Cricetulus griseus: one gene and its partner. The protein of the gene in region 2 binds, or shares a complex with, the protein of the main gene of each other region. Links are inferred from orthologs where the notes say so. Each region holds a gene or a part of one and is shown on either strand. Other genes may lie near its edges.

Region 1 (4,190 bases), on a different chromosome or scaffold from region 2:
AAAGCTGCAAAGCCTTTAATACTCGACAGAAGAAAACAGCCATGTCCAACACACTGTGCTCAAGAAGAAAATAGTTAAGTTAGATAGAAGACCGATAAGACCAGGCATAGCACTAATAATTCCTTCAACCAGAGCCTCTTTGTTTCTGAGTATTTAATTAGAAAAGCCTCACTTTCACTGCTGCCAATCATGCCTCTGTTTTAGGGTGAGTCATGCTCCCTGACCTGAGCCTCCTGCCACTGTTCTTTCCCCCCAAAGGGGCCATGCAGCAATGTTGATCACTGTAAAGCTATGCACTAGCTCACAGTAGGGAAGTGCTCAATAGTGGCGTCTTGAGGGTGTGAAAGTAAAAAATAAGAAAATTTATTTCCCTGTAATAAATCCATGACTGATATTTTCACTTTTGAAACCATGTAAAATAAATTGGAAGGTTATCTGCTCTTGTGTTTAATCTTCAATCGGTAGCTATCAGGCACTATATTATAATTCTGGTTATAGTTATTAATGTCAGTGATTCCAAATATTCATCGTATATACAAGTCCAGCTCTTTTGCTACTATTCTGATTTTTGTCACATTTTAGAGCATCAGTTTAATAACCTAATGCATGCTTCTTCAAATTATATGAGTAAATGGGAGCCAAGACTTTCCTGTCAAATTAATTATGCTAAAATAATTTCATTCACCTGCTGGAATGTAAGTGCTGAGCAGGAACCCAGGAGTTCCAGCACTGGCTCTGCCACCAACCGTCCTCAGAGCCCAGGCTAATGACACTAGCTGAGCTAAGTTTTCTACTAGAATTTATGACCTACAGATTTAGAAACAGGCTAAATGATATATAGGCCCAAGTAGATGCACACGCAGCAAGTAATGGATCAGATAGTAGAGGAATCAAGTAAAATGTTACAAAGTAGAGGAAGGGGAGAAAAAAAAGGCGAAGAAAGAAAGCTATGCTTCTCCTGTTAAATGGCTTATGATATCACTCGTCAGTAGTACCTGTTTTACTGTCTCCTTCAGGGTTTGTACATTCTTCTGGATGCGCTGGCCATTACCACTGATTTGCTGCAAAATAAGACAGAACTCACTCACTAATGGAATCTCTGTCGTGTGAAAGCCTATACCTCAGTGCATCAAAGACACGTGACCATTCACCTGGAATGGAGATATTTAGTAATTTTTGCCCACAGTGACCTAGATTTCACTGGGTGACCTAGATTCTCTGGGACACTGAAATCCAGGTACTTCCCTTGCAGAAGAGCTGTCCTCTTCTCTGGGGAAGCCTACTGAGGTTTCCACCAGCAGCAAGAAACCTAAACTGAACCTCATCAAAGGTGGGAACAAAGCACAAGAAATGAGCAGGAAGCATCTTACGTGAAAAGTGGGTCCTCCCAGTCAATGCAAGGTCCCTTCAGCCTACCAACTCCTCATGGACATGGCTCACAGTTTAGGGTGTCTGGGGTATCAAGCTTATACACTGACATTTCTTAACTTCCAGTCTGAACAAAAAGGAGTGCGCTTCTCACACGCACACCCCTAACCATAAGAACGTCCTCTTCCCCTTTGACTTTTGCTCTGTGCCATTCCCTCCCCGCAACAACTTCTACTCAGTGGATATATTTCCTCATCTAGGCCTTTTTTCTTACAGTTCCCAGCATTTTTCTCATTATGCATAGGTCAAGTTGCTTTCTTTCCACAGGTAAAATTAATAAGGCCTTACCCCTACAAACTCAAACTATGACTCAAATAAAGCCAAAGCAATCACTTTGCGACTGATTTCAAGTGGCCTCCGATGTTACTGAGGTCCTCCTAGTTGCCAGTCTCACTGCCAGGGTTGGGAAGGAGGGAGGAGGGGACCACACACTCTAATTGGAATAGGAGAAGAGGGAAGAAGGTGAGAGGAGAGGAGATGGATGCCGCTAAGAGAAAGACTTACACAGAGGCTGAGCTGGTTGCTTAGCTTGGTCAGGAAGGGTACCACCTGCTGCATGTAGGGCTGGAATCTGTCTGACTGGGGAATCAGCACTTCTGCAAGGGTGAAGTTGAGTACCTGCTTCATCAGGTAGCATCGATTATTCCTCTGAAGGTAGAAAGGAAGCAGCAAGGGTTACATTACAGGACATCACACAGGATCCATCAAGTACTGCAGCTAATCAGGAGATGGATACATTCCCTGCTCCTCATGAAGAGAACTTACATTGACTCCTTGGAACAGTTCATCTCCAATGAGTCGGACATCTGTGTTGTTATCTGCAAGGCTGGCCTGGAAGAGAGAAAAGCCTAAGAGCCTGGTTGACAAGGATGTAGAAGAAAAGCCTGTAAGTAGAAATGTATGCTACCATAGGGGCTAATGGCCAGCCACTGAATGTATGAGTTTAGAACAGTGCACAGAGAAGTGAAAAAGTCAATAATAGGTGACTTTCACATGGCTCCTCTATGGATAAAATGTAGTGTATGAATCCTAAAGGCCAAATATAAGAAAAAAGGTTCTAATTAAGATCAGGTCCTCAAAAAGTCTCTAAAGAGACATAGAAAGTCTCCACCTATGGAAACAAAGTGTGGCTAAAGAGCTCACAAAGTGCTTCAGAGAAAATGGCAAGGGGCCCTTGAATCCCCAGTAGACATGAAGAGAGAGATGCCTATGTACCTCCTCAGCCAGCCTGAAGGTGCGGTTGGTGAAGTATGGCCGCTGGAAATCAGACACATCAAGCTTGCAGTGGGAAGAGATGGGCAGTCCCACTGCCTCCTGGGCCCACAGGGCAATGAGAAGCAGGCAGCTGGCAGCCAAAAGCCCCATAAAGGAAAAGCTCATAGACTTCTTCTGCAGGACGGCCATCACAGACAACTTAAATGTGAACAATTGATAACCGGGGAAGGAGAACCTGCTAACAAGGGAACAAGAAGCAAAAGCATGAGGGAAACAAGTTAGTCGGATAGCTTCCCACCAAACAGATCAACTCATTGCATCAGTCTGTATGCTTACCTGTTTCGGTAGCTCTGCTTGTGATGGGTAAGGCAGAAGTTGCTGCTTTTATAGCCATAGGACACCCGATTTTTGGGTATCTGAACCATATGACATCAGACATTATCTAATTTCCAGTTCTGTCTTCTGAGAACTCCCTAACCACCATAGGAGGCCACAGAACACCGCCTCCCAGCCTTCCCACCTTGAGACATGAAGCCTTTCCTAAAACGTCATTGTATGAGCCCAGAAGGTGCTTTTGCAGACAAATCCCAGAAATCTTCTAAACTCTACATGTTTTTCAAAGAAAACAATTGCTTTGTTGTAGTAGATTCTGATTGAGTATAATCAACTTTGATCTCCTGTAGTAACTGAGTCAGCATTTTGGTCACGAACTCATTTTCCTTTCAACTTCATAGATTCTTATCTCTTTAGAAGTGACCAGAAATAAAAGACCCATGCCCTATATTCTGTGCTTTCAAATAAGCAATGACAAAAATTTGGAGCTTATTTCAATTTTTAGTATAATTTTATCCCATTTTTTAGTATACAGAATGCTTAACTACAACTAGTTTTTAAAAATAACAGGTGTTGGCTAATATAACTGTTTTCTCACGGGTTCCATTCCCACAGATATGCTCATACAGAGACTGTTTTTGAGTGAGCAAACAATTATGGTAGGTGAAAAAATGAAGATTTACTCATAAAATCATAACTAGGATCAATTTAAGTTTGGAAATATTGGTAGTGAACAATCCAGTAAACATTTTTTTCTGTTTTTTTTTTTTTTCAAGACAGGGTTTCTGTGTTTAATAGCCCTAGTTGTCCTGGAACTTGTTTTGTAGATCCAGCTAGCCTCAAACTCACAAAAAATAGAGGTGATTTGCCTTCATGGCTCTTCTTCAATTTTGACCTGACTCTCCTTACTAGCTTCACTCTTGTCTCTGGGTAGGAAATAAATAACTGCAAGAAAAAAAGAAAAAGACAACAGAGAATTGCAAAATAGTTTTTAATAGTAACATATGTACCATATGTCATATTCACCAGTGGACAGACCATTAATGTCAGTGTTAGCATACAGGTATTTCATGAGTGTGACTAAGAGTCACTAAAACAAAAATGCAACCTGGGGCTGTCTGTAGGTTTCCCAAGAGTTGCAGAGAGGACATCAATAGTGATTGCTGTTAGAATGCAGATGTAGCATAGAGATGCCCCTGTGAAAACAAAAGCGA
Region 2 (4,239 bases):
GTCCTAGTGTGTGTACATGCTCACAGAGCCATTAATGCCATTCTAGATAGTAAACCTGCCCACACACAAACTTACCAGTTAAAAATATGTTTTATATATTATATATATGTTTTATATATTTATATATGTTTTATATATTTTATATATATGTTTTATATGTTTCCATGTTTGCCTCAAGTGCAACCACCAGTAGCTTTTCTTAACTGAGAATTTGCTCTGGTCTGAGCAAGTAGCTGCCAACATTCATTTGACAAATTGAAAGCCGTCATGTGCTGGAAATGCATGAAGCTGAAGGACTCCTTTCTGAGCTCCTTAGAGCTGAAGTATCTGTTTTAAAGACTGCACACATCGTCATACCCTTGTGTCACCAGACAACCTTCTGTCCCCACCTCTGCTTCTTCTCAACCCTCCTGGAAAGTCTCAAAAAGCCAAATAAAGCAAAATCCAAAGGTCTTCAGCTCCTCACACTCCGTTGCATCCCAGAATGCATTACTCCATGGCCTTCCCCGCCAACTAAATCTACTTACATTTTGTACTGCACAAAGTAGACACTGCCATTGGTGGTGAGGGAACTTCCTGGCTGCCAGCGCAAAATGTTGTGGAAGTTTCTGGACTGAAACTGGACCTTCTGAGGTTTCAGAGATCCATGGGTGGGCTGAATTCCTAAAGTGGCAAGAAGGACAGCATTGGACATTACTGTGATCACTACTGTTGTGAGCAGCAGCAGGGTTTCATGTATTTTCTGCATCAGGAGCCCCTGGGGAGTCACTCTAAGGGAAGGCAGTGGTGACAGAATTAAAAATCAACATTTTTAACTCTTCAGTATGAGATTTTGATGCATGATGAAAGTCCCCTCCCTTCTCCAGTTCTAGCGAATGAACTCAGGACAAGTTCTCTGCCACTGAGCTACACCTGAGTCTAAAGTAAAATTGCAGAAGGATGTGTTTCATACTAGAAAAAGAAAGGTAATGATACCATTCCCCTAGCACTTCCCAATGGGTAAAGGAACTAAAACTCATGGAAAGAATATAATCTCTTGTTTATTCCCAAATAGTGATAGGATGTAATGACTGTGATGAAAGACCAATTGTCTGTCTACTTGCTACAAGTACTCAAGAAGAGTTGTCCAGATTCACCAACCCACACTAGTGGGGGAATTACCCAAGACCTGCTGTGGGCTCTGGTGAGGGTGCAAAGTCATAGGCAGGAGAGGGCAAGACTTTGCATGGAAGGATTATTTGTGTTTTCTTCTTCAAATCATATGACAAGGGTGACCTACCTTTACCTGCATTTAATCTTACAGAGAAAAGAGATCTATAATAAGATTTATTTCAGGGGCCCAAGTTTCTGGCAAGGGAGAAAAGGATGGTTTCCTTGGGTATTTTTTCTTTTCCACGGATGGTGTTGACATTGTTTTTTGTTTTGGTATGTTTTGAAGGCCTCCTGCCATGCATGAATGTTGCTATGGACTTGGAAAAGGTCTATTACCACGGCTTATTTTGTGCACCCAAATCACTACCTGATTAATCCTATTTAGCACATAAAAATTATCAGGAGATGGCAGGCAGTTTCGTGAAGACCCACCCAGACTTGGCTTGTTAACCTGAAGATGGTTGGCTCCTTGCCCTCTGTCTCTTATGTCTCTGGACTTGTCTTGGGTTTTTCTAACAGCTTCACTGTCACCATGCCTTCTCAGTAACAACTCAGTGCACAAAGCACTGAGGGGCTTTTCCGTCATCTGCTCATTGAACATGCCCAGCTCCTCCATGCTAAAGATACCGGGGAAGTCTTCCTCTTATGGTCTAGAGAATGAGCCTTGGAGAAGTGAAGGAATCTGCCCAGGAGCAGGTGGTAAAGCTGATTTTGTGCCCAGGCTGACTCAACAGCCTGCTTCTTACTACTGAAAACTAAAAGTAAAGCCCTGGATGAGAAGGAGCTGATGGTGGAGGCAGAATAATGCAATAATAATAAGCCTTTGCCTCCTTCAATTTCTTCCTTCTTGATGCTTATTAGTGAACAGATAGAAATATTCATCAGAGGCTATGCTCATTCTTTTCAAGTTATACCCAGACAACTACATAAGAGAGATACTATTATTACTGCATTTGCAGGTATGGATACAGGCACAACAAAGTTACACATCATTCCCAAGGTTACAGGTGTGCTAAAGCAGGGTCATTTTGCCAGCACTTGAATTCCTGCCAAATGAGTCCTTGCTACCACAGAAAAGAGGAATAGCCTACTCTAGTTCCCATATTTCTGTCTGGTAGAGGCTGGGGTCACTTTAATGTAGAGTCATAGAACAACTGCATAGTTGTGGGCACTTACTTAAGCCATTAAGTGAGAGTTCCCATCTATTGACTTTGGGACTCCAGGGGCCTTTCTGAGCAATTTGTCTTGATAAACTGTTCTTGAAGAATTCTTTGTAAACGCCATTTGCTTGTGGTCTCTGTTCTGGGGTGGGGGGGGCGCTTCTCTAAGCATATACACTAACTCTAAGTCTCCACAGTAACCTCCAATCTTCATTCCACAGATAGGAAAAGTCTCGTATCGGGTAATGAACTGCTTTCTACCATGAAGGGGCCTTTCTCTGTCCTGAACTCAGGTACCTGTGGAGCTACTTATTCAGGATGCAGAGAGAAACTGTTCCCCTAACCTGCTGGGACCATTTGGTGACATGACAGAGTCCAGAAAATCATCCAAGCCATTGTTAACCTTGTCTTGATCAGACTCAAAGTTTGCCAATTAGAAGGAAGTAAAGTACTTACCTTTTGCACTGATCAGAAAGGACATGATGAAGAAGCCTAGAAAGCAATGGTTCGGCATCATGGTTGCAAGTGTGCCTGTCTGGCAACCAATGTTCCTTTCAGTGTGGAGACTGCTGAGAAGAGGGAACTGTAAAAATCCACACATGGACCGACCGTCACTTCCGTGGGCTCAACCAATGGCAAATGTTTCCTTAAAAGAAATTTATGTTGTTACATTATTTTACCACTAATAGGAATCTCTTAACAAATATAATATAGTTTGATAGCAAATCCTGAGGTCCTCAGGGCAGGGTGGGACAGGAATTATGCAAGGTGAGTTAAATGAATCTTCAGTTCGGCTCTACGAGTAAGGGTGGTTTCTGGGGACCAGGAGGACTTTAGAGTAATATACTTGGCAGTTGTGTCTGCCCCAGCCCCTGGCAGCTATTCAAAGAGGCAACTCTTTTTTTATAGCTTCTCAGTTAGTCACTCTGGTATTTATGCCTCAGGCCCCTTGACAATGACTCCCCACAGAGCCCCATGCTATATATACTCTTAGCTTTTTCTTCTCCAAGGTGGCCTTGAGTCCCTTTCAATAAATGTCTCTCCTTTCCTATTTCTACCCCACAGTTTTCAGCAATTAAACTCAAGGAAGATCTTCAAAGTTGCCAAACCAAGTGATGCCTGAAGAGAGTGATTGTGGAAGACCGTTAGTATGAGCTGCATTAAATCTGGTTCCTAGCACCCATATAATCAGATTGAACCAGCTCCTCTGCTCATTGTCAAAGCATCATCATATTGCTCTACCAAAAAATTTCCCCTGTGTTTTTAAGGACATTTAAAAAATGCATATAAGCACAACAAAGTCGTAGGTTTTTTGTTTGCTTTGCTTTTTTTCTGCTTTGAAGAGACTGGAGGTCAAAAGAGGAAATGCACTCTGGCTTCTTTTTCATTGTATATTAATGTAAAAAAAAAAAAAAGAAGGATATGACTGCTGCTAGGTATGGTGGAGGAGGTTTATTTCAGATATGTGAGAGAGAGCATAGCCAGAGACAGTAACTTCTGGGAGAGTCCAGAGTGGACATGACCCTGAGCCATGTGAGGAGAGGGGGGAGGGAAAGAAGAGGGGAGAGAAGGGGACCAGGTGCAGCAGCCAGCAGGCCCAAAGTAACCAAGAGAGTGGGTAACAAAATGGTTGGATTATGTAGGGAAGGGCCATTCAACCCTCTGGAATGGAGAGTTCCGAGTAGAGGCCAAGGCATGCCAGCCAGGAGGGCCCTGTAACAGGTAAGGACTGAGGGAGAACCTGGCAGCCAGGTCCACTTAGATATGTTAAATAGAAATCCCAGTCATTTGTCCTTGGTTTGAAACCCAACATCTAGGCTTTTGTTGATAATGAGTAAATAAAGGGCGATGCAATCTTTATGAGTATTTCCTGCTGACACTGGGGCTTTGTTGCTGGGGCGGGTGGGGGCGGGGGTAGGGCAGGAAA

What was found. The genes of interacting proteins can lie anywhere in the genome.
Region 1: the proteins of Il22ra2 (region 2) and Il22 are in contact, whole or in part, in a crystal structure (PDB 3G9V), measured with the Homo sapiens proteins. The link is inferred for Cricetulus griseus from reciprocal best matches to the Homo sapiens genes IL22RA2 and IL22. Residues at the interface, in NP_443194.1 of Homo sapiens: Lys65, Ile66, Tyr99, Gly100, Gln101, Arg102, Trp104, Gln128, Glu129, Pro130, Tyr132, Met148, Pro150, Arg151, Thr153, Trp155, Trp156, Glu157, Glu200, Pro246, Met247, Leu248, Asp249, Arg250; in NP_065386.1 of Homo sapiens: Phe47, Gln48, Pro50, Thr53, Asn54, Phe57, Met58, Lys61, Ser64, Leu65, Asp67, Asn69, Thr70, Asp71, Val72, Arg73, Leu74, Lys162, Gly165, Glu166, Asp168, Leu169, Met172, Arg175, Asn176.

The regions. Positions count from the first base shown.
Region 1 is NW_023276806.1:138,230,943-138,235,132, forward strand, and holds the start of Il22 (interleukin-22), read right to left. Parts: upstream 2,833-4,190; coding exon 2,644-2,832; intron 2,260-2,643; coding exon 2,194-2,259; intron 2,077-2,193; coding exon 1,933-2,076; intron 1,062-1,932; coding exon 996-1,061; intron 1-995. UniProt on the Homo sapiens protein: Cytokine that plays a critical role in modulating tissue responses during inflammation. Plays an essential role in the regeneration of epithelial cells to maintain barrier function after injury and for the prevention of further tissue damage.
Region 2 is NC_048595.1:270,154,922-270,159,160, forward strand, and holds the start of Il22ra2 (interleukin-22 receptor subunit alpha-2), read right to left. Parts: upstream 2,827-4,239; coding exon 2,769-2,826; intron 664-2,768; coding exon 528-663; intron 1-527. UniProt on the Homo sapiens protein: Isoform 2 is a receptor for IL22. Binds to IL22, prevents interaction with the functional IL-22R complex and blocks the activity of IL22 (in vitro). May play an important role as an IL22 antagonist in the regulation of inflammatory responses.